Oryzias latipes: one gene and its partners. The protein of the gene in region 1 purifies or fractionates together with the protein of each later gene. This does not show direct contact. Links are inferred from orthologs where the notes say so. Each region holds a gene or a part of one and is shown on either strand. Other genes may lie near its edges.

Evidence for each region.
Region 2: the proteins of slc38a9 (region 1) and lamtor4 purify together in Homo sapiens (affinity purification with mass spectrometry; 4 studies listed by BioGRID and IntAct, with this or other methods). This does not show direct contact. The link is inferred for Oryzias latipes from reciprocal best matches to the Homo sapiens genes SLC38A9 and LAMTOR4.
Region 3: the proteins of slc38a9 (region 1) and lamtor1 purify together in Homo sapiens (co-immunoprecipitation; 5 studies listed by BioGRID and IntAct, with this or other methods). This does not show direct contact. The link is inferred for Oryzias latipes from reciprocal best matches to the Homo sapiens genes SLC38A9 and LAMTOR1.
Region 4: the proteins of slc38a9 (region 1) and lamtor3 purify together in Homo sapiens (affinity purification with mass spectrometry; 3 studies listed by BioGRID and IntAct, with this or other methods). This does not show direct contact. The link is inferred for Oryzias latipes from reciprocal best matches to the Homo sapiens genes SLC38A9 and LAMTOR3.

What each region holds. Positions count from the first base shown.
Region 1 is NC_019870.2:27,085,278-27,093,319, forward strand, and holds the start of slc38a9 (sodium-coupled neutral amino acid transporter 9), read left to right. Parts: upstream 1-3,737; 5' UTR 3,738-3,865; intron 3,866-8,042.
Region 2 is NC_019881.2:23,885,768-23,892,693, forward strand, and holds lamtor4 (ragulator complex protein LAMTOR4), read left to right. Parts: upstream 1-3,517; 5' UTR 3,518-3,623; coding exon 3,624-3,626; intron 3,627-3,699; coding exon 3,700-3,783; intron 3,784-3,845; coding exon 3,846-3,990; intron 3,991-4,055; coding exon 4,056-4,153; 3' UTR 4,154-4,514; downstream 4,515-6,926. Other genes in the region: ADP-ribosylation factor 4, read right to left, coding at 4,964-5,050. UniProt on the Homo sapiens protein: As part of the Ragulator complex it is involved in amino acid sensing and activation of mTORC1, a signaling complex promoting cell growth in response to growth factors, energy levels, and amino acids.
Region 3 is NC_019871.2:21,795,796-21,803,726, reverse strand, and holds lamtor1 (ragulator complex protein LAMTOR1), read left to right. Parts: upstream 1-2,490; 5' UTR 2,491-2,776; coding exon 2,777-2,818; intron 2,819-3,955; coding exon 3,956-4,101; intron 4,102-4,196; coding exon 4,197-4,274; intron 4,275-4,706; coding exon 4,707-4,830; intron 4,831-5,561; coding exon 5,562-5,654; 3' UTR 5,655-6,891; downstream 6,892-7,931. UniProt on the Homo sapiens protein: Key component of the Ragulator complex, a multiprotein complex involved in amino acid sensing and activation of mTORC1, a signaling complex promoting cell growth in response to growth factors, energy levels, and amino acids.
Region 4 is NC_019880.2:24,347,901-24,355,892, forward strand, and holds lamtor3 (ragulator complex protein LAMTOR3), read left to right. Parts: upstream 1-2,833; 5' UTR 2,834-2,899; coding exon 2,900-2,932; intron 2,933-3,016; coding exon 3,017-3,051; intron 3,052-3,206; coding exon 3,207-3,265; intron 3,266-3,632; coding exon 3,633-3,766; intron 3,767-4,412; coding exon 4,413-4,476; intron 4,477-5,544; coding exon 5,545-5,618; 3' UTR 5,619-5,735; downstream 5,736-7,992. Other genes in the region: dapp1 (dual adapter for phosphotyrosine and 3-phosphotyrosine and 3-phosphoinositide), read right to left, coding at 6,369-6,488. UniProt on the Homo sapiens protein: As part of the Ragulator complex it is involved in amino acid sensing and activation of mTORC1, a signaling complex promoting cell growth in response to growth factors, energy levels, and amino acids.

The DNA of each region.
Region 1 (8,042 bases):
CAGAGGGCCACACAACCGGGAATATTCCACAACAACTTCAACACTATTTTCAAAGCGTCCCCAGTGGTCTTTTATTTATTAGTATGCTGTTTTTAGCCAAAATCAATAAATCCGTGTCGTTTCCTAGGACATAGTTTCTGCAGAGCAGCAGGAGTTCAGTAGAAATTCACCTCTGAAATCTGGGTGGGACTGTTGGCATGGAGTAAGCCTGCGCTCCTTTCCCATGATCCCTTTGTTTTCACTCTTACCCGCTAGCATACAGCCCCTCACACCCCCAGCCTATAGTGATACAGCAAAATTGTCGACCAATATTGGAGCTATTCCCAAGTACAGTTGGGATCCACCTTCGAGCTTAACTTCTTTATATATGTCCTCAATCATCATAAAAATGCAACAAGAACACGTTATAAATCCCAAGAACAGGATTTTCATTGGAGAGGGTCTTTTCTGACTGGAACCTGAGTGAAAAGCTTCAGGGTGAAAAGGATTTAAAGACCAACACTGAACGTCAGTCCTTTAATTAGGGCCAAAAAAAAGCAGGAAGATCTAACACGGTTACAAGAACACATAAAGAACTTAGGCCCCTTTTAAGCTTTTGACTTATGTGCATTTTTTTTATTAACCCCAGAATCCACAGATGTTCACCTTTCCTCACAGTTTTTTTACAATCGGGGTAAAACCTGCCGCTTAAAAACTTTATAAAGACAGAAATGACCCTAATTATTAAAAAAAAAACACACACACTTAAAACCACATTTTGATGGAATAAAAACTAACTTATGTAAAAACAAAAAATTTACGTCCACCATTAATGTCGTCCGCTCAAAGATGAAATTCCCAGAATGCAACGCCCTGTAAATGTTGAAAAACTGGCACATTGAGATCGACTGCTAAGACTTGTTTGTAGTAAAAAACAATATAATAAAATACTTTTACTATATTTTTGATGAAAGTTTTACATCACTGCCTGTCTAATTTTCGGTTCTCTAGATACGCCTTCACCTGTACACTCATCCGTTGTGACATGGCTGTATGCGGGTACCCGTCACAGATCGGGTAGCACCATCATATCACGCTCTTATCACGTACAGTCACACGCAGGAACGAAACAAGGTTGTGAAATTCAGGATTTTCAGGTAAGGGCGATATCTAGATCTACATCAATCCTGCTACCAGTCCAGTTTTTCCTGTCATTTTCTCTCATTACTGTGTTCTAGCAGTGGGAAATGGGTCCAATTCATTTTCCTCTATTGTGTGACACCAATGGTTTGGTCCTTATAATGTTGAAGACAAACTATTGACAGATTAAAACTCTTTCAAAGGGTTAAATGGTGTCTCTAATGGGGGAAATGCCCCGATGACATCTCGCTATAAAAAGGGAAATAATAAAAAGTTCCTACTTCATAAAATATGGACACTTTCCCCCTTTCCAGTTGGAGATTTCAAGTTTTTTTTTCATTTATGTGTATATTTAGTATTGTTTTTTTTCTAAATGTGTGAAGCACTTTAATTACAATTTGCTTGTAAAGTGTACCATATAATTTAGACTGAACTGGATTCATATTGTGTTATTCAAAGCAGTATTGTTACCAGAAAGACATGAAACCGATGTTCAATTTGTTTATTTGTAATTTTTTTTTTTCAGTGCAAGAATTTTTCTTTTTTTCTGACTCAGATATTACCTCCAAAAGGTCTTTTGGCTCATCTTTTTTTCTCCAGTCTCATATTTATTCTCTGTGTGAATTTTTAGATGATTCTTCTTTTCCAATTTTTTGATCTTCCATCTGTTTCTTGTGACGACAAGAACTGAATTTTCTTAGGAATCACTACACCCCCATGTGTTCTATCACCAAAGAGAGGTTCCAGCCTGTGTGCGGTTCGTGACATGCGGCAAGGGTCACGGCTGGGAGGGCAAGAAAATAGGTCCAAATAACTAAATGACAGACAGTGGCCAAAGTGTCGGAAAAACCACCAAAGCACCAAATATCAACCCGACAGTCCTCAGCCAGAAAAACGTTGCCAAAAGCCCACCAACACTGAAGACCAAAACCCTGAAAACCAGACAGTAACAGTGCAGGCAGCTCTGACAGATCCAAGGTACCAGAACCAGAAGATGGTGGGGAGAGGCCACCTGCAGGAAAACAGAACCAGGAATCAGAATAAAGAACCCAAAAAGCTAAGATGCAAACTACGACATCATAACAGATTTCTTTATATTCTGTGGACATTGTACTGCTGTCTCACTTTGGAAAAACAATGGAACACTCTACACCCTAACTCATTTAGCTAAGGAATTTCACTGCCATCCTCTGGTTTTATAGCCATGTTAGATCAGGAAATGTGAAAACATTGCAAGTTTGACTTCACTGAAATCCTAATGAGCAAGCATCCTTAATACTGTTGTGACATGTAGGTCAGTATTTAACCCCCCACACAGTAGGTGGCAGTATGTACCTCAGTTTGAATTTCACTGTTAAGTGATAAATGGTCAAAAATTTTGTCAGCTCTCTTGTCCTCTCGCTTGTTTTAATGAAAGCCAATTAAAATGTTTGGTTCAATGCCAGCAGTCTGCTGCTGTTGTGTCCTTGGGAATTCCCATCACCTTCCCTGCCTCCAGTGTGGCTCCACTGGTGTGTGGACCATCGGTGATGGTCAGAGGGGCCTCTGTCAGTCAAGTTTGAATGAGGATTGAATGAATAATGGAAACACACTGTGAGCGCTTTGAGCGTCTGGAAAAGCGCAGAAAAATCCAATCCATTATTTTTTAAATGGAAATGTTTTGCCTGTAGCAACAACAACCTACACTCTCTTTGATTGACGAGCTGCTTTGCTAAACTGACACTTGATTTGTCTCTGAGTTTTTACTGCTTCTGTCGTCTTATTCCCAGTAACAAGAAAAGAACCCGACTGTGGCTCACCATCACGCTCTTTAGAGTAATTTAAAGGATTTTCACGGCTTTGTGAAGGTTTGTTCAAAAAAGTACATTTGGTTTATTTATTGCCAAGTGTTCATGGGAGAATGGTAGATAGTTACATCTGCTTTCAGAAGAGTTATACCTACCCTTACCAAAAAATGTCTATTTAAGTATACTACAAGCAAACCAAGTCTATACTAAAAATGAAGTGGGACACTTGAAGTGTACTTTTTCCCACACATTGTGATATATTATATAGTAATATATATACATAGATTTTCAATTTAGTCTGAAGTATTCAGTTATACTTCCCACATGTCATGTACATGGTTTATAGCAGACTTGCTACATTTGCAATAATATTTATCCTAAAGTATAGATAGTACAATAAATGTCAGGTGTGTCACTGTATACAGCGAAGTAAAAATATTTATTAACGTATAATGAATTTACAGAAACAGTAGAAGTCAGTGAAGTTACATGGAACAAGGAAACCTCATCTAATGAGAAAGATTAAAATGATTACATTTCTTGTGGGTGATTCATCACAAAATTTAAAGCTAAAGTTCTGTTTTAAATTAATAAAACCATTTTAGAAAAATTCCAAGAAACGTGAATCAGAATTTAAGGTAAAAGCAGAACATTTAGAGTAAATATCAGGTGTTTAATGCTTGAAGTTTCTTTCCAGAAGGGAAACAATTGGAAAGTGAATTTCGTGTCTTTGACAGGAGTTTGGACCTTCTCGGCCACCGTCAGTGCAAAGTTTTTGTAGCAGCCAATCGGCGTGCTTTGTGCTGTCCCTGGAGGCGTGTCTCCCCGTGGAGGCGTGTCTAGCCGTGTTTGCTGCACAGACCAGACCGGCTAAGAGACGGGCTCGCGGCTGCGAGACGCACCCACGGAAACCGGCGTCGCCTCCTCTGGATTTGAACCGGCGACTCGAACGCAGGACGGTAAGACGCCGCATTGTCCGTCAGTCAAGTCTGTGGGACGCGGGAATCTGCGGTGCCGTCAGGACCGGCTGTTGTTGTTCGGCGGGCGGACTTCAGCTTCGTTCCAGCTAACCTTTTTACCTGAGCGCGTGACCACAACACGGGGCTCGTCTGTTGGTGCTTTTCTCCCGAAAAAAGTTATTTTTCAGAAATGTAGATGTAATATGTTCTCAGGTACGTTTGAGGCGATCACCTGTCCACAGGTAGACTGTTCCGTTTGCTAATAGAAGTGAATGCGCGCGCAGTTAGCGATGCTATTGCAATAAAATATACAGTTGGATTACTCTTTCTGCCACATAAAACCGATACATTGGAGTAATTAAATTACTGCTATATTCAGATCTTAGGAAACTAATCGCCAAAAAATAAAAAAATAAAAACAAAAATAAAATAACCGTGAAACCTCTAGTTTGTCTTCTTGGTCTCTAGTGGTCCTTCATAACTTACAGGTCAGCAACAGAGCAGAACCGGTTCCGATGGGCTTATTTGAAGGGTTCATTTGGCATTTATCCATCTGTGCGTCACTTCACTGGCATTTTCTGTTAATTTTATTGTTTCCTTCCAGTTTTATTTTACACATTTTCAATGAAAAATAATAATAACAACGATGATCGATTAAACATGTAAGGGCGCAGATAACCATCACACATCTGAATCCGGGTTCATTAAACTGTCCGCATGGAAAGTTTCACATGGATCTGAATCCTGAGGAGAAATCACAGCTTTCTGAGAAATCTCCATAGATTTAGGGATACATGTTTTTAGTTTGTGAATCGATTCCTGTAGTTTCTCTGTGTAATTTTATGTATGTGTAGTTTTCTCTCTCTCTCCGGCCCGGTAACTGTCCCAGAGACCAGTACCGGTCCATGGCCCGGGGTTTGGGGACCACTCATTAAAGGAACTGTGTGTTATTCCAGGTTGAATTCAACTTTAAATGCTTATTCCAATAGACTTCCCTGAAATCAGAGCTTTGTGGCTCTCATGATGTGATCTGCAGTTCATGGTGACATTGTGACTTTAGACGGAAAAGTTCTACCGTAGATGGTTCTAACCAGACAGCAGTTCTCCGTGGGGTTTTGGATCGGAGAACCTCAGAAGTGTTTTCACCGACATCACCATCACATTCATCAGGTTTCTGTCTTCCTGAACTTGTTTGTTTAGTGAAAATATAGATATTCTGAGCCGTGACTTGATCCTTGGACCAAACATTTTGATTTTTTTTTTAAGGATCTATTGAACCTTTTAAAAAATAACCATACAGTTTCTTTTTGGATGTATGGTCATTTTCTAGAAACCTTTATGACTCCTCGTCAGAAGCTCTATACAACCTTAAAGTAATAAAAGTCAATAACTGACTCTTGTAACTCAGCCCTCTTTTGTCCAAAACAACAAAGTTTTATTCCCACATACAGTGGCTTGCTTTCGTAAATCACTCATGGTCAATAAAGTTTGTTGGTTTGCGTACTTGTTCATCTTTGGCTGCCATCGCAGCACTGAATCTGTGGATAAGTCTTTATCAGAGTTGTGCACCTGCACACTGGAATGTTGCTCCATTCATCTTTGCAAAACTGCTCCAGTTCTGTCAGGTTGGGTGGAGACCGGGCAGGAACAGCTCCTTAAAGTCCAGCCACACATTCAGGTGTTGGCTTTGACTCGGCCCCTCCAGAACATTAACCTGGTTCTTTTAAAGCCATTCCTGTGTAGCTTTTGCCGTTTGCTTTGGATCATTGTCTTGCTGGAAAATGAACCTCCTCTCACGCCGTAGTTCTCCTGCAGTCTGAAAAAGATTGTCCTCCAAATTTTCAGTGTATTTTGCAGCATTCATTCTGCCCTCTATCTTTACAAGCCTTCCAGTGCCTGCTGCTGCGAAACATCCCCACAGCATGATGCTACCACCACCATGCTTCACGGTGGGGGGATGGTGTATTTTTGATGATATGCAGTCTTTGGTTTCTATCTTGTTTGATGGCCAAGAAGCTCAATTTTGGTCTCATGAGATCAAAGAATCTTCTACCACTTGATCATGGAGTCTTCCATTTGCCTTTTGGTGAACTCTAGTCGAGCTCTAGTCTGTATTTTCTTTAACAGTGGATTTCTCGTTGCCTCTCTACCGTAAAGCTTTGACCGGTGAAGAACCCGGGCAGCAGTTGCTACGTGCAGCGTCTCTCCAGTCTCAGCAGCTGAAGCTTTTATCTCCTTCAAAGTAGCCGTAGGGTCTTGGTGGCGTCTCTAAAGTCTCCTACTTGAACGGTCATTCCGTTAATGAGGGCGGCCTGATCTAGGCAGATTCACACGTGTGCCATAGTCCTTCCATTCCTTGATGATGGAGTTCACTGAACTCCGGGGGATGTTCAATGCCTTGGAAATGTTTTTGTATCCACCCCCTGACTTGTACCTCTCAACAACCCTGTCTCTGAGCTGTTTGTAGGGCTCCTCTGTCTTCATGGTGAAATGGTAGCCGGAAAAACCGCACCACCAGTATCTGGAGCCTTCATAGACAGGTGTTTTATAACCCCCTTGGGACACACCCACTCCACTCAGGTGATCTTCATTCCGTTAATTGATAGACTATTGGCACTAATTGGATGGACTTCTATTGAATTTAAAAGGGCTTGAATAATTATGCAAACAATCATTTCATGTTATTGTTTCATTGACATTACTTTGTAGAAATCTGTTGTCACGTTGACATTAAGGTTTTTTCTGTAGTACATTTTTGTGTGAGGAAAGACTAACTTTATTGACCATGAGTGATTTTTATCTATTTTTTATTTTGGAAGGTTCTGCAAATGATGAAGTGGAATTCCAAGTCTCCGTATCCACATTAACTTCAAGTATTCAGATTTAACACAATACATTCTGTATTAATAATCCTTCTGGGAAATCTCTAGGATTAAAATTCCAAACTCAGACATTTCTTTTTCTTATAATTTCCATGAACATTGTTCTTGTTGGTTCTCTAGTAAAGTGTTTTTCAACTTATTTGAGCCACGGCACACTTTAACCTCGACAGGAATCCTGCGGCACACCAGCATCCAAAAATGAAAAAAAGAAGAAGGAGAAACTCGGTCTGTATTGATCTACAGCCCCTCCACAATCTCACATACATTTTTATGATAATTGTGGCAGAAAAAGCTGGAAGTTGCTGCTGTTTTTTCTAAAAAAATGTAATAAAAGTTAAGTTAAAAGATTTAAAAACTGATGTGGTTTCAAGACGTTTAACAAGTACGACTCATTGTGCGCTGAGACGCTGTCACTTTAACCCAATGCATTATGGGAGATGTAGTGTGTTAACTGCCGCAAAAGGGCAGACACTCTTCTCTGAGCTTCATTGTTTTGTTCACTTGTTCCACGGTCTGACACCGGATTCTGTGGAAAGCTACACCGATAAAGACGAGCTTTAGCTGGTATTTTTGTTGGAACTGAGCGACTTTATGAGCAGAATCAGAACAAGGAAGTGAAGACTTTAACCACTTCTGATTGGTCGGACTGATGACATGTGATTAAGCCTCCAAGAATGATTGGTGGAGACAGTTAAAGGGGCGGGACTTTTCCAAAAACAGCTGAAGCTACGGCTAAATCACGGTACCGTCATTCTTATCAAAATGTCTTTAATAGAATCAAATAAACAGAAAGAAAAAAGTTTTTTATTATGTTTCATATTCCTAACTACTCTGTGTTTTATCAGGGCCTGTTTGGATGAACACAGAGCTGAAATCCTGGAGATGGAAAATGTTTTTAGATCAGTTATTGAGGGCACTTTCCGGATTTCCGCAACCCGGTTGAAAAACACTGCTCTAGCAGACATTAGATGAGAACAAATGACTAATTTTAGTTGTCGTTTAGTCCTTTTCGGGCTATTTAGAATGAAAAGAGGTTACCTTTTGATGCAGTTATTTGAAATTGGACATAAAAATAGAATTTTCTGCAGAAATGTGCGATTGCTTCAGCTGGATCTGAAGATGCGGAAGTTAAGAATAACATGGAAAATGTATTGCTAAAGCAGAAAAATGTGTCAACATTTTCTAATCCCTCAATGGGTATTTAATTGTCTAAAGAAACTGAACACGAATAAAAAAAAAAGATTGCAAATAAGTAATGATATTATCTGGGAAAGTGACCAAATCTGCTGCTCAAA
Region 2 (6,926 bases), on another chromosome or scaffold:
GTTCCTCACTGTCCATCAGGAGGACGACAGCCCAACTTCTGTAAAACCTGATGTCAAAGCTGTTTGGGATTTTCAGTTTGATGGGTAATTAAAGTGGATCAAAATCCCATTTAAAAAGAAATTCAATACCAACCTTCTGAAATAGACGTGAGGGAATGGTAATGTTTGTTTTTCTGTCTGCTGTTATTTCATGACCTGGATGACCTTCATCCTCTGTAGGTTTTCCAGGTGAAGGTTTGTTGTTTCTGATAAAATCATTCTGTAGTTGATGGATCTTTTGAATGTTTGTGTTGGAAGTAGCTACGGCATAATGGATGCTCTCCGTTCATGTTCAAAGCATTCTATCAAACATTCAAATGTTAGAATTCTTGTTTTATTGTCGTCAATTGTTCTGATCTGACTCTAGTTTGTGTTTTCACAGCAGTGTTGAACAGTAACGCAGTAACAGTAACTTAAACAGCCTCGAAGCGACAAACACGTTTTCACTAAGTAAACAATTGAAAACAGACTTTTAGTCTTTCAAGAGTCACATTCTAGCAGTAATGATAGAAACTTCTGGAAATCTCAGTGGGGTGAAGATGTTTATGGTGGTCAGCTGGAACTCTCAGTTCAAAACACATTCTTCTGAGCAAATGTGACATTCAGGGTCATTCTGTGTTTCTGATAATGTCCACTCAAAGTAACATCTTTATTACTATTAACAGATACGGTTACAACTCCAAACTTGAAAACGTTGAGCTCATTTCTTTGAATGAAAATGATATAATTTCTGGTCTAAACAACTTTCCCGATTAATACAGCTTGAAAATAATCAGCTGGACAAATGGCCCCCACGTGTTCTATCACCTGATAGTTACATTCATTCATGCAGAGACAGAACCTGAAAGATGTCTGCAGAGAAAGATTCCCATCAGACTCTGTTCTTACCTGCAGTAATAATTATGGATCCAAACAATCTGGCATAGATTACTGGCTGGTGTCTGATTGTCTAAATGCAGATGATATTGAAGTCAACATTCTTCCTTCTCCACTAACAGATCATAAAGCAATTTACATTTCTATTAAATTATCCGAAACTAGATCCCAAAATAAGAGAGCATACTGGATGTTAAATAACTCACTGCTTAAGCTAGACACAGTACAACAAAAGGTTTCTGAATTCATCTCTTACTTTTATAATCTAGCAAAAGAAGAAAACTGTTACGGTAAAAACTGGGAACTTTTTAAATTTGAAATCACTAATTTTTGTTAGAAAGTTTAGTTCAGAACTAAATAAAACTAAAAAGGCTAAAGAAAGCCAAATTATCAATGACATTATGACAATTTCAAAAAGAAATCCTGCAGAGTTATCAGATGATGATAAAATAAATTTGGCATTATTACAAAAAGAATTAGACAGTATTTATAAGAACAGAGCTGAAGGAGCCTTTGGAAGATCAAGGCTGAAATGGTTAAAAGAGGGGGAGAAGAATTCCTCTTACTTTTTTCAACTGGAGAAACGTCGTTCCAAGACAAATACACTACAGCAGTTAAACATTGAAGGCCAGATGACCTCTGATCCCAAAGTTATTGCAGATGATGTTAGCCTGTTCTACAGTAAACTGTCTGCCTTTGAACCCAGCGTAGATCCTGATCACTTCCTAAACTAGAATCTACAACAATACAGGCTTCTGAACGGGATCTCTGTGATTCTCCTCTTTCAGAAAATGAAATACTTTTCTCTATTAACCATCTTAAGAATAACAAATCTCCTGGACCAGATGGCTTAACGGGAGAATTTTATAAACAATTTAGTGATAAAATGAGCCCCTTTCTGACACAGGTATTTGTAGAGAGCATAGAAAAAGGCTTCCTTCCTCCAACATTAAATCAAGGCGTTCTTACTCTGATACCCAAACCCAAAAAAGATGGACTTCTCATTGACAACTGGCGTCCCGTATATCTATTAAATAATGACTACAAGATTCTTGCATCTGTCTTTGCAAAGAGACTTAAATCTGTTCTAAACTCAGTTATTGCAGAGACACAATCAGGATTCAGACACATCTCCAATAACATTGGTCTAGTTCTTGATATTCTAGATTCCTCACACCTGATCTCTGATGACAGTTGATTCTCTTTTTAGACTTTTATAAAGCGTTTGACTCTGTTAATCATCATTTTATCTTCAGCTGTCTTCATACATTTCTTCTGTAATACAGTTAAAACTCTGTATGCTAATGCTAACTGTTCTGTCAAACTAAAAAATGCCCCCCCCCAGATTCAATCCCAATAGAGGAATCAGATGGGGGGGGGGGTCCTATTTCACCGTATCTTTTTCTTCTAGTTACCCAAACTCTTGCTGATTGTATCAATATTCATAAATTAAAAGGCGTCTCAGTTCTTAATAAAGAAATGTTAATGAGTCAGTTTGCTGATGACACGACTCTCTTCTTCAGAGACAGCAGTCAGGTTTCCTGATCTCTGAACCGTATCCAGTCTGTCTCTGATGTCTCAGGTCTACGTCTCAGTCTGAACAAATAAGAACTTCTTTCTGTTGAAGATTGTGCTTTAGAATCTGCAACAGTCCTGTAATAGAAACTGTAACATATTTAGGCGTTAATATTTCCAAAAGTAGTTTAGAAAGATGCTCATTAAATTTCCCTCCCCCTCATTGATGAAGCCAAAAAACGTTTGAACCAAAGGCTTCAGAGAGACCAGAGTCTGAGGAAGGATTCACTCTCCACAGCAGAGGGGATTTCTAGACTGACTAATTCTGGACAATCAGACTCTGAAATCTATTGATCAAATGCTGCTAAACTTCATCTGGAAAAACCGGATTCATTATTTAAAAAATCTGTATTAATGAACTCCTATGAAAAAGGAGGCCTAAATTTTCTTGATCTTACTACTTTAAATAATACTTTTAAAATAAACTGGATGATATTTCAAAAATCCACTCTCCATTTGGAATATTTTCCCTCGTCACATGTTTGCTAAAGTAGCTTTTCTCCATTTTCTTCTGCTTTGTGATTATAATATCGACAGAATCCCAGTGAAAATCTCTGCTTTTCACAGATTCTTCTTTCTTATCTATAAACACAACTTTTCTCCTCATAAGTTTTTTATTTGGAATAACAGAGATATCCTTTACAAGAACAAATCTTTATTTTACAATCATTGGTTTGACAATAATATCCTACTGGGGACGCCGTTCCTACTGAATCTGTGAACTCTTTAAAAATACTGTACTTGATGCAAATATTCCCTTCATGTCTCTAAGTGACACTAATGTTGGAAAATCTTGTTTCAACTAAAGAATAACAAGATCATCCGTGTTTCAGCTAAACGTCATTTCTGTTCCTCTGCTGTTTTCTATTGGAGAACATTTATTCCTGACTCGTCCTGGAAAAATGTTTGGACCCTGAATCAGAAATGATTAATTAATAACAAGATGAGAGACGTCTGCTACAAACGTCTACATAGAATCTACCCCATAATCAATACATGCTCAGATAGAAGAAAACTATTGACTAAGTAAACAGGAAGTGTAGCGAAACAGACCGGAAGTCGCTTGGAAGGCCTGAAAGGCACCGCCCACCAGCCTACGTCAGCAGTCACGTGAAGGATCATCTTCCGGAAGAATGGTGAGTTCGCTCTCTGTCTCCGTGCCGCTTTTCCGAACCGAACCTCACCGAACCTCACGTGTGTTGTGTGCAGAGCACGGCGGCGCTGACGGCGGGTCTGGACCGGATCCCGGACCAGCTCGGGTACTTGGTGATCAGCGAGGACGGAGTTCTGGCGGTAAGTAGTATCCGGGCCCAGCTTTGTTACCGAACCGAACCTGAGCAGGCTCACCTGTGCAGTCGGCAGGTGAGCTGGAGAACGACGAGCACACGGCGAGCGTCATAATGCAGATGGTCCGGACCGCGAACCGCTTCCGGTTATCTGGATCTGCGGACCACTTCCGGTCACCCGGATCCGAGGACGTCCCGTTTAAGCGCATGTCCGGTAAGTCACACCTGACAGGTGAGCTCGGCTGGTGATGCCCCGCCCTGACTCGGTTCTGTTCGCAGTGGTTCTGGAGGACTTCGTCTTGGCGGTGACCGTTTCCGGTCAGAAGGTGTTTGTGGTCAAACGTCAGCACGCGCATCCTGAGCACGTCACAGCGTGAAGGCGGGGCCAGGCGGAGAGGACGACAGTCCACCTTTGGACCGAGTCGGAACCGACTTGCTCAGTAATGAACTGATGTGACCCACCAATCGCACAGAACTGGAGCAAGTTCTCTAAACAGTTTCGGTTCTGTTTGGATCATTGGACAGAACCCAGTTACGTTTAGGTTCTGGACCTTTACAGAACAAGGTCAGCTACAGTGGTTCTGAAGGCAGAGCGGAAGACCGATCCTGCAAAGGTTCTGCTGCATGTTTTGGATTCTGAAATAAAATCTTCATCTCCCAAAGAAACCAGATTTTCTGTCAGAACTTGTCATTTAAATAAAGTTTTAATGTTTTGAAAACTGATTCAAATAAACATACGAAAACCTGAAGTTTGTCTGATCCTTAACCAGATTCAGTTCTGAGACCGGTCTGGTCTAGAGTCTGCAGGTTCTGGTTCAGAACAAAGCCCACCAGCGTGACAAGAAAAAGCTTTATTGCGTCATCTTCTTCATCTCTTCTTCACATTAGGCAGGAATGACGGGGGCGCCGGTCCGGCTGTGGAATGACTCGTCACCTGCCCAGGTAGCTCTCACCTGCCCCAAGCCCCACCCCTCTCCCAAAACATCCTGTCACATGATCTGGATTTAAAACATGCGCATAAAAGAACAAACACCGGCAGAAGAAGAAGAGGATGATGGGAAACCTCAGAGTCTGTGACATCACTTCCTTCTACAGCTATAATTTAAAAAAAGAAAAAAAAAACAGGAACAGTCTGGCGGAAGGCTCCTCCTCTTCCTCTGTACACGGTGACATCATCAGTCAGCTGCTTAGCGTTTGGACAACTCATTGGACAGCCAGTCCAGCCCCTCGTACAGACCGGTCCCCTGAGTGGCACAGGTGGCCTGGACGTGCCACTGCAACACACAAACACACACATGTCAGGAGGAGCGGTTCTGACCCACGTCTGCTTAAGATCCCCCCCCATGGTTCTGGCTCCATAAGTCAGGGGGGCCAAAGGGGTGGAGCTGTTCTGACCCACGTCTGCTTAAGCCCCCCCCCCCCCCCCATGGTTCTGGCTCCATGAGTCAGGGGGCCAAAGGGGTGGAGCGGTTCTGACCCACGTCTGCTTAAGATCCCCCCCAATGGTTCTGGCTCCATGAGTCAGGGGGCCAAAGGGGTGGAGCGGTTCTGACCCACGTCTGCCCAAGGCCCCCCCCCCATGGTTCTGGCTACATGAGTCAGGGGGCCAAAGGGGTGGAGCGGTTCTGACCCACGTCTGCCCAAGGCCCCCCCCCATGGTTCTGGCTACATGAGTCAGGGGGCCAAAGGGGTGGAGCGGTTCTGACCCACGTCTGCTTAAGCCCCCCCCCCATGGTTCTGGCTCCATGAGTCAGGGGGCCAAAGGGGTGGAGCGGTTCTGACCCACGTCTGCCCAAGGCCCCCCCCCATGGTTCTGGCTACATGAGTCAGGGAGCCAAAGGGGTGGAGCGGTTCTGACCCACGTCTGCTTAAGGCCCCCCCCCATGGTTCTGGCTCCATGAGTCAGGGGGCCAAAGGGGTGGAGCGGTTCTGACCCAAGTTTGCTTAAGGCCCCCCCCCATGGTTCTGGCTCCATGAGTCAGGGGGCCAAAGGGGTGGAGCGGTTCTGACCCACGTGTGCTTAAGGCCCCCCTCCATAGGGTTCTGGCTCCATGAGTCAGGGGGCCAAAGGGGTGGAGCGGTTCTGACCCACGTTTGCTTAAGGCCCCCCCCCATAGGGTTCTGGCTCCATGAGTCAGGGGGCCAAAGGGGTGGAGCGGTTCTGACCCACGTTTGCTTAAGGCCCCCCCCCCCATGGTTCTGGCTCCATGAGTCAGGGGGCCAAAGGGGTGGAGCGGTTCTGACCCACGTTTGCTTAAAGCCCCCCCCCATGGTTCTGGCTACATGAGTCAGGGGGCCAAAGGGGTGGAGCGGTTCTGACCCACGTCTGCTTAAGCCCCCCCCCCATGGTTCTGGCTCCATGAGTCAGGGGGCCAAAGGGGTGGAGCGGTTCTGACCCACGTCTGCCCAAGGCCCCCCCCCATGGTTCTGGCTACATGAGTCAGGGAGCCAAAGGGGTGGAGCGGTTCTGACCCACGTCTGCTTAAGGCCCCCCCCCATGGTTCTGGCTCCATGAGTCAGGGGGCCAAAGGGGTGGAGCGGTTCTGACCCAAGTTTGCTTAAGGCCCCCCCCCATGGTTCTGGCTCCATGAGTCAGGGGGCCAAAGGGGTGGAGCGGTTCTGACCCACGTGTGCTTAAGGCCCCCCCCCCTAGGGTTCTGGCTCCATGAGTCAGGGGGCCAAAGGGGTGGAGCGGTTCTGACCCACGTCTGCCCAAGGCCCCCCCCCATGGTTCTGGCTACATGAGTCAGGGGGCCAAAGGGGGTGGAGCGGTTCTGACCCACGTGTGCTTAAGCCCCCCCCCCCCCCCCCTAGGGTTCTGGCTCCATGAGTCAGGGGGCCAAAGGGGTGGAGCGGTTCTGACCCACGTGTCCTTAAGGCCCCCCCCCCTAGGGTTCTGGCTCCATGAGTCAGGGGGCCAAAGGGGTGGAGCGGTTCTGACCCACGTCTGCTTAAGCCCCCCCCCTAGGGTTCTGGCTCCATGAGTCAGGGGGCCAAAGGGGTGGAGCGGTTCTGACCCACGTCTGCCCAAGGCCCCCCCCCATGGTTCTGGCTACATGAGTCAGGGGGCCAAAGGGGGTGGAGCGGTTCTGACCCACGTGTGCTTAAGCCCCCCCCCCCCCCCCCCTAGGGTTCTGGCTCCATGAGTCA
Region 3 (7,931 bases), on another chromosome or scaffold:
TTGGAACGCCAGCGGTGACATTGTTCGGTTTTAAACAGTATTGCAGCATCCCTAAAATCAACACGGCTCAAATGTTGGATTTACAAATAAAAAAGCAGTAGATCTGGCAGATTTCAAAGCATTTCAGCAAATGCAATTATACAGATTAATAGAAAAAGTTAATGACGAGTTATACAACATAATATAGTAAGAAATGGTTCTGATGCAGCGTAACTGCTGAGTATAATAAAAGCTTCTGTCTCTATCATCAGGCTGAGACAGAAACCCCTCTTTTTAGTGCCGCTGTTTTCCGTCTGTGAGGCGTGTCGGAGACCCTTTCATCTTCTCCAGAGAGATTAGACTTGTGCTTACATGTCACAGACTGCTCCTCTCTCACACCATCTTGCTTTTGTTAAGAATGGTATTAGAAAGAGAACTTCTTGATTTTTTTTTATAAATCTCAAAGTTTAAAACACACTGATCTAGTACAGTAAACTTGACTTTCTCAAAGTCCCACTCTAATCATCTTTTGCTCTATTCTAAAAATGTTCCAAGTGGTCTTTTAAATATGATTATGCCGATTTTACCCCAAATCAGCAAACCTATGCTATTTTCTTGGACAGTTTCTGCGGAGTGGCAGTCGTTTATTAGAAATTCAGCCATTACTGAAAGATGTCATTTTACTCGCTCTTCCTGTAGCTAACAGCCCCTCACACCCTCACCATAACATTTCCGGAGCAATGTTATCGTAATGCCTGATGCCAGCTCTGATGATGAAAACAAAGATCTACTTGGATCTAGTCATATAAAAGGTGGATGCATCAGAATGAAGCGGAGCAGGTGGGAATTAAACAGGCAATATTTCGATTAGAGGTCAGCCGCCCTACTGCTGCACCATGGCCACCCCATTATAATGTTGAACTGTTCATCCGCTGTTAGGCCATCATTGAAAGGCATGTGTTTTAAATCAAATGTATTTTATTTACCGGTAGTGCCATTTGACTCTGGAATTTAATCATGCTATTCCTTAAAAGTTTTGTCTTCACTGTAAAAAACAACAACAATAAGAGCTCATAGACAAATCTATGATAAAAACAAGTCAACATTGAGATATTTATATTTAAATTGACCCATTTTCATGAACAAATCTACATTTTCCTTGTCAAAAACATAAAATTGTCACAACCATGCTTACAGCTTATGGAGTTTTTTTTAAAAACTTTTTGTTTCTGAAAAAATTTTCTGAAAATGTGTTTACTGTATATATTTCCTGTCCGCACTTATGTTTGGCTAACTATTTGTTTGTCTAACTATCTTCATTAATTATGACTGGTACATTTTTTCTTTTCTTTAATTTCTGTGAGGATTTTTATGAGTAAATGTGGATTTCCAAACATTCACTGTGAATATCTGAAATGGAGAACCTTAAATTTAACGCCCATTCATTGTCACACACCTAAATGACCACTAGAGGCTGGTTTCAGAATGAGGCAATTTCCCACTGACTCTCACATCTAAAAGTCGGACTTTAAAGCAAAATTTTATATTTCTATTGATTTATTTTTGTTCACCACAGGTGTGGAATATGTGGAGGTGTGTGTTTTTTTTTTGATTGGCAGGTAGTTGGACTTAGCAAAACTCCAACATTCTGAGCAAACTGTGGGTCTTTTTTAGTTGCAATTCGGATTCAGATTATCCCAAGCGGAGTTTTGTTATCCATTACTGTTCACTCAAAAATCCAACACTTCAGATTTCAAAAGTCAGTTATTAGATGAAACAAGAAAAAGAATACCTTTTTTCATCACTTCAGCAACAAAATAAATAATCCATCTGTCCGTCTGTCCATCCATTTTCTTTATCAGCGATATAAACGGGGCCTGTTCACCTGCTGTTGGTTCTGATAAATTATTTAACACTTAAAGGTCTTTTTTTTCAGCTCTGCTCAATTTTTTCCTTTGGCTTTTAAACAGATGACTGATTATTTTCAGCTAAAGCTCCTGAAGGTGGAATTCACCACAGATATTTATTTTTTCTTATCTTAAATAAATTTTGGAGGAAAACGAAGGTGTTAATATTTTTTATTTATTTAATAATTTTTATATATTGTAAAAATGATAGATTCAAGATTTATATGTATATTATAATACATAATTTAAAAACATTATACTATTTTTTATTACAAATATTGATGACATAATTGTTTATCAGATTTCATTAATTGCCTGGAACAAAAATAATATTATTTGTTTTAACCCTTGTGCTATCTTAGATGACCCCACCCTTACTTTGACGTGTTCTCCCTACCATGACAAAGGTGGATAAAGGTGGAAAGATTTCATGTAATTTATGGACACCAGTGAAGATCACAAATCATTGAAGAAAAAAGATTCAGCGCACTGTTTAGTCGGTCTAGATGACCCAGCTCCCAATGTTAAAATGCCTAGGATAGCACAAGGGTTAACGAAGCAAGGGGTGAGGGTTCTAATGGCACACGGCCCCGCCGAAGGGCGCCACTGTGCTTCTGCATGAAACAACCTGCATCACGTGACGAAGGCCGCAGCGGCTTCACGAGAACCGGAAGTAGAAGTTGAGTTGTTGTTGCAACACAGCTGCTGTCATGTGATAGCCTGTCTGAAAAGCTGCTGTGCTGCAGTAGCTTCCTGCTTCTTGATGTTGTTAAAGTAAAAGTCCACAGGAGAGGAATTTTATGTTTGTTGGAGACGGAGCGCGCGGCTCGTATCTGAAGGAGAACAGGGAAGCCGCGCATTGCTAGTTTGGCTCCTCAGACGCCGCCGCCATGGGTTGCTGTTACAGCAACGAGGACGAGAACACAAGTCAGGTAGTTAGCCGCTAGCTAACCACAACCCGATAACTGTACGGTGCTCGGTTCTGCCTTGTTTACCGTGGTATTTACTTTTTTTTAAAATTGATATTTAAATATAAAGAGGAAAACCTGCCCATGTAACTTCTAGTTTTGTGTCAGATATTTCTGTAACATCTAAAGCAATGTAGCTAACTCTAATGCAGGCCTAGCCCGGAGCTGATTTAGTAGCTTAAGTAAAGTAAACAAGTTGTATATCTGTTAATGTAAACATCTGGATTTCTTGTTAAAGTTTAGTGGTTTATATATACGAAATATTTACTTATCAAACAAATTCACGTCCTGCAGTTTGTTACGTAGATTATGTTCGTGCTGTTTAATCATGGGTTAGAAATCAATTGTGAGCTGTAGGCTGTACAGAATACATAACTAGACTTTTCCGTATTGTGTCTTGAAGAGTTCAGTGTCACATGATCATGCAGACTCCAAGCTATTTTAGTATAAGGAAACAAGTGTGACGTTCCTTTGTTACTGTAAATATGCCATCATAGTTGTAGTAAAATAACTGTTTAGCCCTCTATTTTTATTATTTTTGCAAAGCACATTAAACCAAACACGTAAATTGTTCTGTTAAAAGCATAGTGAAATTTAAAGTATAATTGATTTAGTTTAAACATTTCTCTATAATAAAACACACATTAGGTTTAATTAACATTATTTTTATTGATTTGTGTAAGGTCTGGTAGCATAACATGTACAAGTGGATGAAGGGTTTTTGTATTCGTATTTAAAGAATTAAAAGTTGAGATGAACTGTTTTCCGGTTAAGTGAAAAAGTTTCTTAAAATATTTAAAATGAAATGGTACTGGATAACCTAACACATGAAAAATAAATATCATAACAGACTTATTGTTCAGCACTAGCAAAGGTTGCAGAGATTTCTCTTAGTTGAAGAGTTTGTAATATGTTCACTTATTAAAAGTAAAAATGAGTAACTTGCTGCACACATGTCATCTACAGTCTTTTGTCCTGGTAAAATGGCATGCTTTCATTGTTGCAACTACTTCAGAAAACAGTTTTAAGACAGTATTTGTGACATTTTCATTCAGAAGTGTGTATAAATTGTCTGAATAGATGCTCTGCTACTTTTGCAAGGACCCTGATGAGATTAAGCCCCTTATCCCCCACCCAAACCCCATTAGCAAGCCTCCAAATGGGACAGACTGGATCAATCCTAGCGTCCCATCAGCGCGGACGGATGAGCAGGCCATTCTCACATCCATCCTGGTCAAGACAGCACAGTAAGGCACTTTTTATGTTTGGATAGGTCCAGAATGGGACTTTTGACACTATAGTCTCAAACGCAAGTAATGAAAATCTCTTTGTTGTGTTTGAGGAACATCATTGATGTCTCAGCAGCTGACTCTGTTGTTATGGAGCAGCATGAATACATGGACAAAGCCAAGCAATACAGGTATGTCTTTGAAGACTACTTATTCGTTACCAACTGAACTTTTGGCATGTGTAAGCCAATAATTTAAATTTATATTAAATTTGTAAACTGCAAGCCTCTGTATTGTAATTGGTTGAACAACTTTTATTCTGCAATATTTTGTATACATGGTTCGGATTTAGCAAAAAAAACAGTTTTATTCGTGGAATCTAAAGCAATTGAGGATGATGAGGTCTTTGTATCCTGAGGAAGTTGTGAAGGAGGTAATTTAACCACAAAATTGCTGCAGTGCTGGTGCTTCCCTATAAAAGCTGTTTAGACAAAACAGCTGTCAAGCTGTAAAAGGCAACCGCCGGTTATAGTGCAAAACTGTGCAGTCTGGTCGGACACAAGCGAGACCATTTGGGTTAATTTTTTTTGAAGCTGAACTTGTGTTTTTTTTTATGGTTCCAGTACAAAGTTGACTGCAGTGAGCACCAGCCTACCACAGAAGAAAGCACTAGCCCTCCCCTCACTCACTACCCAGCCCCACCAAGTGCTTGCAAGTGATCTGGTGTCATATTCAGATATTCAGCAGGTAACCACACTGACACGCACTTTAATCCATGTCCTTGAATCCATGTCCTGTTTGTCCTGCCTTGTTTTATGCTGTAAAACCAGGTGATTTGTTTAAAAAACAAAACAAAGACCCTATAAAAAAGTTGAGGTTTATCTTGGTTGTGTTTTGAAAATAAAAACAGAGTATTTTGAAATATTGTTGCATCAACCCATTTCTTCATCTAAACATTCAGAATTCTCCCCCTTAAAAATGTACAAATGGACAAAAAAAAGAAAACAAGTGATATTAATTACTAGACTCTCAGTTGAAATCGCATGTTACTTTCTGCTGAAGTATTAATATTAATTTTTTTTTTCATTATTATGATCAGTGCTTTATATTTTAAAATATTCTATTAGAAGTCTGTAATAGCGTTCTGATCATGCAGATTTTCAAAATCAAATGACTCAGAATCGGATTGGGGGCAAAAAAAAACCTCGTTGGGAGACGTCTCCGCTAAGTACTTCATGTGAAGAGTTGCTTTTTCTCTTTTAACTGTAAAGCTGAACGTTTGTAAGACATCTTTTAAAGAGCAAATACACAATTTTTGTTCAATTCTTCAATATTTGACTTGCTGCTTGTTGGGACTGCAAATGGACATTAGCTCTGAGAGCTATGGTCTGGGACAAAGCACCTTTTCTTTTATTAATGTTCCTGTAATTGGTTCCTGTCAAATAAATGAAACCTACAATGTTGTCCTTTTTCCGCAGGTGTCCAAGATAGCTGCTTATGCTTACAGTGCGATCTCTCAAATCAAAGTGGATGCTAAAGAGGAACTGGTGGTCCAGTTTGCCATTCCTTGATTCTGCAACTCCGACCTGCATATTGTTCCTCCCATCCAAGTCGCTCTTCGTCTCATCTGTGTTCTCCTCCAGCCCACTTTTTCTGTTTTTTTTTAAAACTACTTTGATCCTGTGCTTCTCGGTCATACCTCTCAGTCATACCTCTGACTGTTAAAAACCCCACAGAGGTTTTGCTCCGGTCTAACTGTCCACTATTGTGCTTAGAGGATCTGTGACAGTAGGTTTTCTGTCCAATGTGCACTTGGGAGAGAGGTTCATGTGGGATTTCAGGCTCCATATGGAGATGTAGGGGAAAAGTCACATTCCTCATCTCTCTTTTGTTATAACCTGGAAGTTTTTCACGCCTTGTTTGGTTGAATCTTCAGGAAAGTCTCACTTTACTTTAATCCAAAAGCATGAACTGAATGGACGGAGTGCAAACCCCAGCAGTCTCTGTGACGATGAAGGAAAATGAAACAGCGTTTCAAAAGCAGGGGTGGGGACTGAAAATTTTCATTTGGTTATTTTTTTTGTTTTCCTGTTCTAGCCAAATGATGAATGCGTCTGATGTGTGGGGATTTAATTCACTCATGTCAGCTACGAATCAGTCAGCTTCTGTTTTGACATTTTTTAATTTTTTGTGTGTGTTTTTTTTTTTTTTGCCTCAGAATTTTAGATAATTGAATGCAGTGGGGAACAGAAGAGTGATGGAGGGGCAGGGTGTTGGAGGACACAGCATATTCATCCTTTTGTACAGACGGATTCTAAAAACATGATGGCTTGTACAGAGTTTGTCTGCTTGTAAAGGGGAGTTGAACCGACATGCAGCCTTCTCAAGTGTTAGTTTTACACAAAAAGGTTCACTGCAGGTTATCCTCATATAGAGTTGTCCATATTAATCAGAAACTAACCATCGTAGTCGAGTGTGTTCAAATTCCATGAACTGCAGGAGATGGTGAGATCTCAGAGCTTTTTGTGATTATTTATTTTTTGGTCTTCAATGCTTGTTTGCTCCACAGAGAGTGCGGTGAGCTGCTCTGGGCTCGATAAAGGGATGTTCAGCGAGGATGTGACTATTTAAACCACACAACTGATTTCAGCTTTTTTTTTCAGTTACTTGGCTTTTCTTTTTGTTACTCGGATGTGTAATACTACCTGAATAACTGTATGTTTGTAATATTTTAGGCTAGTACCAAAAACTTTTAGTTTTTTTCTTTTTTTTTGGGTTTAATCAGTACATTAAAAATTTTCAACAAAGTAGTCGTGTATTATTAAAAACACAACCTGGCATTTAAGAAGCTGTTTACTATGCGTTTCAATGATGAGCCTATAATGGGGTTTTAATAATAAAATAAATTAAAGCTGCGAGCGGTATTGTATGGCCTGCAGGCGCTGCCCTCCCTGCCCCCTTTTGTCCTGTCCTCACTGAATGGGCGACTGCCCCTCACCCCCCTCTTCTGCCCCTACCATCCTGGTCAGAGCTGCACTTGACATATTCACGACTTTTCTGTTGGTTTCACGTCCATAGCAACGGTTTTGTATTTGGGTTGCCAAGTGATGGCAAACTGATCTTTGTAATTCTGAGAAGAATCTGCAAGAGTTGTTTTATTTCTTTGACAAAGGAGGTTTTTTGTTAACCACGCCCACATTCCTAATATGTTCACAAATGTTCAATTATTCCGTTCAGCTTTAGTTAAGGTATTGTGTATTACATTTTTACAATATTGCATTAAGAAATGTGAAACAACAGGAAAATGCCACTTTTGTGAGCTCGCTAATCTACAATTGCCAACATTTTTCTCGAGGAGTTAGGCGATGGGTGAAAATCCCTAGGACAAATTTTAAGTTTATAGAAGGTACTAATGAAGATTTTTATTAAGAAAGTTCAAGATGGCAGCCTCTTCCCAGGGTCAAAGGTCAACAAAACTTCAAGGTGGGGGTGAAATTTCTTTAAGATTGCAAACAAAACATTTTTCTTTTTCCATATTGTGTGTGAAGAGTGCCAAAATTCACACTTAAAAGAGCCGCCAAGCTGCAGGTCCTGTGGCCATCCCATAATTTTAAAACTTCTTTTGAATTTGTGGTTAGTGGATTTTGAAAGTCTTTTTTTTTTTTTTTCTTTGGCTGCGTATGGCATTTTTGGCCATTTTTTTATGGATTCTCCTGCTCTGATTTTTTTTTTTTTTTTCGGGGGGTTGTCAATCACTATACCCAAAAATATTTTTTGTAGTCCTTGCAGTCCAGGACTGCTGAAGGACATGGAGAAAAAGAGGAATTTCAATGATAAAATAACCCAAA
Region 4 (7,992 bases), on another chromosome or scaffold:
TGTTCAGCAGAAGTTCTTTCAGAGCTTTTTAGCTGCTGATTTAACCTGAAATGTCTAATTTCCCTTCAAAATGTTATTTCCTGAAAAATGGAACAGCTTTGAAGGAACATCAGCGACATTTGATTAGTTTGAGTTGTCGTTCCTGCCTCTGTAAGCCCGTGTGGGTTCCCTTCACCCTGATGTCCAGAACCTTCCTCTGTCTCTAGTGAACCCCCCCACTTTCCTGCGTTCCTCCTTGACGCTCTGCCTCAGATTCCCTGCTGATCTCCGTGCTGGGCATGGCTGTCTACACGGGATACGTCTTCATGCCGCAGCACATCATGGCCATCCTGCACTACTTTGAGGTGGTACAGTGAGGCCGCCCTCCTCTTCTTCTTCGGCCTCCTTTGCTGGGGGACTCGTTGAACCTTCCCTCTTCGTTTCTCTCTGGTCCGTGGAGTGGTCCACATGACTGACTGCCGCCCCCGTGCTTCAGTGAAGCACGAGCTGATGGACGCAGACGTGGACTTCCTGCCAGAGCGGGCAGAAGAGACTGTCTAGACTTTATCACAGGAGGGTCCTTTTAAAGTTCTGCTTCACCTTTCCCACGTCTGCTCTGGAGAGCCTTTTCAGATCTGTTTAGCTCCGCCCCCTGATGGCGTCACACAGACAGTAAGGAGCGCTTTAATCACACATTCCTGGGTTGATGACGTTCTTCTGATCTAAGGAGGAACGTCTGGAGGAGGAGGAGAAGCTCCTCAGAAGTCTTTTCGATGAAGTCATCTGTGAGAACACCGTCCATCTTCTTCCCCTGAATGTTTTTTCTCCAACTGTGTGTTTTCTGAATGATGACATTATAATAAACATGTGTGTGATATGTTTGTAAAGGCTGGTTGTCATAATCAAAATGTTCATGTCAACTAATCAACACACAGAGAAACTTCTGAAGATTCACCTTTAAAAACGGATGGTTTCATTGAGACGGAAGCAGAAGCTCTTCATGGCTCCTCCAGAAGAGGGGGGACGGGTGGGACGGGACGGCGTGATGGCGGGGCAGCAGTGAAGCTGCAGAATATGTTTCAGACCTGATGAGTCCTGCTGTGTGTCCGACTGCTCTGACCTTCACGTCTCCACGCTCTGCTCCTCTGCAGCTTCCATCGTCTCTTCAGCCGCTGCATGAGACCTTTTTGAACCTGGGACTTATGTCAGACCCAGATCCCCTCTGAACCGGTCCAGCAGGTTCCTGTGGTCTGAATGGATTCCCTTGAAGCTCCTTCAGACCACGCCCACATTTCCATGTTTGTGTTTGCACCGAAGACCGTTTTCTAGGAGAACAGCTTCCTTTTTCCAAATACCTCTCATACATGAACTCTTTCATGTCTGTGTCTGGGCTTTTTTCCCCTAAAACTACATTTGACAATTGGAAGATGAACGTTTGAAGATTTAGTTCACGTCTCACCTGTTCTGAAGAACATGATCAGAAACCTTCTCCTGCCTGAGCTGCAGTGCCTGGAATGTCCTGGAAACAAAGGACCCTGGAGGTGACGACACCCACCTGAGCAATCCACACAGAAAGAAACAACCGATCTGGAGGAGGCAGCTCTGCTGAAAAAAGAACTAATGACTTTTATTGGGCAAATGTTACTGATGGATGGACTGACGACGGGCTTTCAGCAGGGACAGCAAGACAGTATAATAATCTATAATAAGGGATGTTACAATACCGGACAAATAAATCAATATATTGTATCTGATTGGAGACCAAATACTAATATTTTCTTGTAGGTGGCAGTAGCTGCGAAATATTTTAGCTGTGTTTAGAATAAGTTTAAAAGAAATTTCCAATTCAAAATAATTGGAAAATAAAGTTTTAGTCAACTTTATTGAAATATGTTGCCAGCACATTTCGATCAGTTGTAAGTAATGTTAGAATCTTCACTTAGTCCAGAACTATGATGGAGGTTCTAATATATTTTCTATCTACATTTTTCCCAGTCAAAAGAAGACAAAAAACATTAGACTTGGTTTGACCATGGATGAACCATGACGTCTGACCACCAGCAGGGGGAGCAGAGAGCACACGGCAGTTTAAAACAGCGAAGAAGAAGCGTCACGTGACAGCGAAGAAGAAGCGTCACGTGACTGCAGCTCTTTGGAAATTCACGGTGGTAGCATCAGCTGATTGTTTGTTTAAACGTTCAGAGGACCGAGCTCACTGTGGAAACGCTCCGGACGGGCTCGTCGTGTTTTGGATTCGGAGCCGGCGGTTCTCCTGACTTCCTGTGACGGAACCGGCTTGGGTCCTCGGAGCTGCCATGGCGGACGTGAGTCTGTCTGTCCTCCTTTAGCACCTCCTGTTCTGTTAGGCTTCACTAAAAACTCTTTAGTTTTTGGGAAGATGCTCAAAGTTCACTATTCTCTTCTAATTACAAAAACACACAGTATCATGTGGGATGGTTTGTAGGTGATAAATTATTTCATTTGGCATTTAATATTGTATTAATGTTTCATTCACAACAGCAAATTCTTAAAAAAAAATCAAACCATTACTTAATAAATTTTAGAGAGAGATATGTTTTTTTTAATCACTAAAGTTTATTAAAACAAAAGTGCAAAACAGATAAGCTGTGTAACAACCCTTAGTTTTATATTACATTTGTATTAGACTACAGTCCTAATTTTCATCTTTATTTCTTTCTGTTCTATACATGTGGATATGTTGTGTTAAAAACAGACGCTCTACAGAGGTCACGTGACATTTTTCCATTAACTGTTTATGAGAACTAGACTGGGTGACTCCTCCCCCTGGCTGTCCAAACAGGAAGTACCTGTTGGCTCCAAGAAGCCAGAATCCCATAGACTTCTTTGGAGAAATTAACAGCGGTTACTCGGTCACTATTGTCAGTAATGCTGGGTGAAAATGGTGGTGGGGAGACCAGGATCTTCTCTGACGGTTTGAAGCTCTAAAGCTCACAGACGTCCACGTTCTTGACTGTTTCTGAGGTTGCTCCTTAACTCTTTATGCTCCCGTCTGCAGGATCTGAAGAGGTTCCTGTACAAACAGATGCAGAGGTGAGGCTTTTGTCCCTTATTGTTATTGCACAAAGTGATTTACTTTAACTATATAACAAGAAAAAAAAATCTGTATTATAAATCAAATCTCTTTTCTCAAAAAAGAGTTTTTGTATCTTATATCACATGTAAATAGTAGTTTTCTGTGTCCTCAGTGTTGACGGGCTTCACGCTATCGTGGTGACGGACCGAGACGGCGTCCCGGTAATCAAAGGTGAGACTTCTTCTGTTTCGGGTTTTCTGTTCCAATAAACTGTGTTTTAATAACTTATTAGAAATACTTTTGGCCTCAGGGCCAACCTGCTACTCAACAGGAACGCTTTATCCTCAGCCTCAGCAGCTTCTTGTTGTGGCAGTAGTTTCATGGTTTGGGGTGACTCAGCTCTGGCTCCACTCGTACGAGTTTAGGTTAGAAGTCACCAAAGTAGAGCAGAAAATGGATCTAAAAGACTCATTCATCTGCATTTTAGGGGTCAAACTGTTGGGGATTTTTCTGACTTTTTTTTCTGGCCCTGGTCTTTGAACGCACCGCTCACCAGCAGGAAGTCCTCATCCTAACACGCCTGCTTGTTTTCCTCCAGTTGCCAACGACAGCGTTCCGGTGCACGCGCTCAGACCGGGCTTCCTGTCCACGTTCGCTCTGGCCACGGATCAGGGGAGCAAGCTGGGCCTCTCCAAGAACAAGAGCATCATCTGCTACTACAACACCTACCAGGTGACCCCTCCCAGCATCACCGCGTGGGGGCGTGGCAGCCGGAACACCGGCGCCTTTCACCCGCGCTCGCTTCATCCGGTTCCTGCCAGTTTGTGTCCGGTCCGGGTCAGATCCAGAACCAGACTCTAGTCTCCATCGTCTCTTATAGTAACAAACTTCCTGTTTGTAAACTTTTGGGGGTGGGATTAAGAGAATAGCCTCACATAAAAGCAGAGTGAGACGGACTGAAATGAGATGATCCATGGGAGTCGGATCACAACAGAAGCACTAGAGCAGGTTCTGTAAATGTCAGAGGGTTCTGAGAGTAAAGAAGAACTTCTGCTGGGACAGAGAGGAGAAAAGTCTGCAAACGTTATCCTCTGATGGAGCAGACAAAACGTCCAGCAGAGGAAAATCTCAGAATCTGTTGGTCTTCTTTTGTTTTTCATGATTTGTTAAGCCAGCTGAACTTTTTCCTGAGTTTTTTTAAGAAAAATCAGAGAAGTGAAAATATTTGGGTTTTTTTTATTGCTAAGTAAAAAAAAAAACCAAATCACTCTGATGGATTCCTTCTGCTCTGAACCAGCCTAACCCGGCCAATCTCCATGGTAACCAGACTCTGCTCTGGTTCTGCCTTTGTGACCCGTCTGCTGTCTCTGCTCGACAGATCATGCAGTTTAACCGCCTGCCGCTGGTCGTCAGCTTCATCGCCAGCAGCAGCGCCAACACAGGTGAGATGAGGAGGCGTGTCTGAGGAGCCCCGCCCACTGGTTATCTGCAGTCTGTTTGATGTTCTCTGAACAGAGCGTGTCTTAAAATGATCTCAGTCTTCATCTCCGTGCACCCCGCTGTTCGTGTGTAGCTTATTGCTGCATCGTGGGGAAGGAGAAATATCGCCATGGAAACGCAAAAACTTTTACCTGAGGCCTTTTCATCATCCAAATGAAAGAAAGCAGAGAAAGTGACTCAGCATCATCGTCCAAAATATGTTGCAATGTGGTAATACTGGCATTTAAAATACGGCTCAAGAGCCAAGAAGTTGAAGTTTATCTGAGAAAAAACCCGACATTTCAGATCATTTAGTCTGACGGGAATCTCCAGGAATGTTCTGGATTATATTTAGTGAAAAGAAGAAAAAAAGTTCTTGTCAAACCCCTTCTGACAAAAGATGAATCCTGTGAGTCTGACCCATCCTGCAGACTCAGGTGGGAGGGGCCTAATCAAAACCTAGAGTGAGCCCTCCCCCCCTGGCGTTCCAAACAGGAAGTACCTAATCCTACAGAGAAATAGACAGCTGTTACTCAGTCTTTTGATCCGAGTAAGTATTCTTACTCGGATACATTTTTTTTATGATCGTCATATTTTTCTGTGGTTCAAGTTATAAACTGACCAATCAGATAAGAGTATCCATTCGACAGATTTCATGTCTTTTAAGTGGTGGTAGGGGTGTGGAGTTCCAACAAGCTCACTCCTGATTGGTGAGAGTGGTTGCCATAGAAACATGGACTCAGATTGACTTATCGCTGCTTATATATCCTGAAAAAATGGCGAGTGAATTGACTTCATGTGGTTGGAGCTGGAGGTAAACCATTTTCTCTGTGTGATGTCACATTCAGTCCAGTGCTCATATGCAGTCAGGGGATTCTCCAGATAAACCTGATCCTGACCAGGGTAGGGTCAGATTGTTTCCATAGCAACAGACTCCAGTTAGGAGCCATCCAGCTTTGTGAAAATGAATCCATCTGGTTTTTCACACGAGTGGGAGGCGTTTTGTAAAAACCCTCCTTTTCTGTCCTCAGGCCTCATCATGACTCTGGAGAAGGAGCTGGCTCCTCTGATGGAGGAGCTGAGGCAGGTGGTGGAGGTCACATAAAGTCCCATGATGCTTTGCTAAGAAAACCCGCCTACAGTTTCTACCGTCGCCTCTGCTGCAAACTTCTCACCTTGCGTTGTCATTTCTAACTCTTGAATAAAAGCTTTTCCATCAGGAGCTCCACTGTTTGTTTTTTTCTCTGAGAAGAGTGAAGAACCACAAAAGCGTCCCACGCTGAAGATGATTCTCATGATTCCAAAATTATTGGTTAGGTTGGAACGTAAAAAAATGGAATTAAAATCTGACAAAAACTTTTAAAAAAAAACAAAGAAATCACTTTTATATTTCATTTACATTCACAATATGACAAACAGTCATGTTTGGTGTAATCTGAAAAATATAATCCACGTTTTTCTCGTCTCTGATATTCAGATTAACTTTAACCCTTGTGCTATCCTATGGGGTCCAGATGACCCCACCCTTACACCCCACCCCCCCACCTCCATCTGAGATATTTTTTGAAGTCAAACTTTCAGTGTCTTTACAGTGATTTAAATATTTATTCTAAAACAGCAAATATAATACACAACTAAAGTGAGGTGGGGATCTATTTTGAACAACATGAATCTATACAACATTCCTCTGGTCCACTTTAGCTGAAACTCCAGAACAAACAGAAGGCTTTTCTGACCAAAATACTTTGGATATTTTTTCAGTCTTTAACATACAGCCGACAGTCGATCCTCAGCACCTGAACTCAAACAGTTTTTCAAAATAAATGCACTTTTTTGAGGAGGATGTTGGGTTCCATCAGCGGTCAGGACCGTCTTCTGCAGCCGGAGCGCTTTCCGGTCCGTCATCGACCTTTTCTCGTCTGTGACTGCAAACAAACACGAGGCCGTGAACAACATGAGCCACAGCGACGGAGGCCTGAAGAGCACAAACAAACCCAACAGATTCATGGCCTGAAAGCTACAAAAACGTGCACATAAACCTCTGTCTGCAGAGCTAAGTGACTGTCTCAACTCCCAGCATCTCCATCTCTAAAACATACGTCTTAATGGTGTTTTTTTTTTATTTCTTTACAAACCAAACCTCTTATTCAAACTTTTCCTATGGGGACATTTCATGGGGGGTGCTCTGGATGTTTGGCAGACATGAACCCATTAACCCTTGTTCTATCCTATGACCCCACCCTTGCATTGACGTGTTGGGATGCCTGTGGGAGGGGCTAAGCCTTCATAAGGGGTGAACTTACTTTTCCCAGTTGAGGGAGAGCGGTCTTGGTTGCAGTGGTGGCAACAGGCTCTCCCGAAATCAGCTGAATTTATTGTCTGATTTTTCTTTTCTTTTTCTTTTTTTTTGGGGGGGGGGGGGTCAATAAAATCCCATTTTTGAAATTTTGAGTCTGCTGGCTTGGGCATCTTATTTCAGAGTGATTTATTTTTTTGCTGCTGAGAAGAACCCCGTCACAGCCACTGAGCTAAATACATTTGCACGCATATCCCGTTCTGTTAATGTCACTCTGGGGAGGGGCCAAAGTTGAAGATTCTACTTGTAAAAAACAAATCTAGAAAGTCACCAAAAGGAGCATTTTTGTTTTCAGCGTGCACTTATTTGACAAGGAGTTGCCAAAAGGCATCATTACTAACTGCTCTTGGAAAATATTATAGATGTAGAATTTATAACTTATTACACACATCATTGGAACACAAACACAGTTTTTCCTTTTTATACGTATAAGCGTTTATATTTAGCATTGATGTTTATTTTCATATTTAGCATATATATCAGAGTGCTTTTAAATGTCACATATATGTGTGGGAAATTCTGCCTCACAGGTAATAGAAATGTTAGAAAAATTGATTACCGTAATTTCCGGACTACAAGCCGCTACTTTTTTCCTGCGCTTACAGTCCTGCGGCTTATTCAGTGACGCGGCTAATTATTGGACTTTATTGGCGGCCGCCGTGTACGTATTTTTGGACACAGTGAATAGTTTGAATTCTCTAACATCAAACACAAGTCATTTGTTTTTCAACACACCTCTAAGCAGCCAAACAGCATGGACTTGACTTCAGGTCTTAGACACTTCAGTCATGGTTCAACAAAACGAAACACGCATGTCCAGCCGCATCCCAGAATCCTTTGGTGCCATTAGACCCAACGTGCACGTGATCGCCGCTACAATATGATGAAGCTTTCAAGTTAAAAGCAATCGTTAAAAGCAGCGTGAAAAAATCACCAACGGGTTTGGAAAAGCCGGTCAGCTGCGTGACGGAGAGAACAGCGCATGCTCAGGAGTGCATTTACCTCTGAGTCATAGTGACTCGGCTGGCTGCACGTAAATATGTGGCAATAATATCAGCCTTTATTTTGTCGGGACACGACTGGAAACACAAATTGACGTGGTCGTGTTAACGGTTTCTAAGGA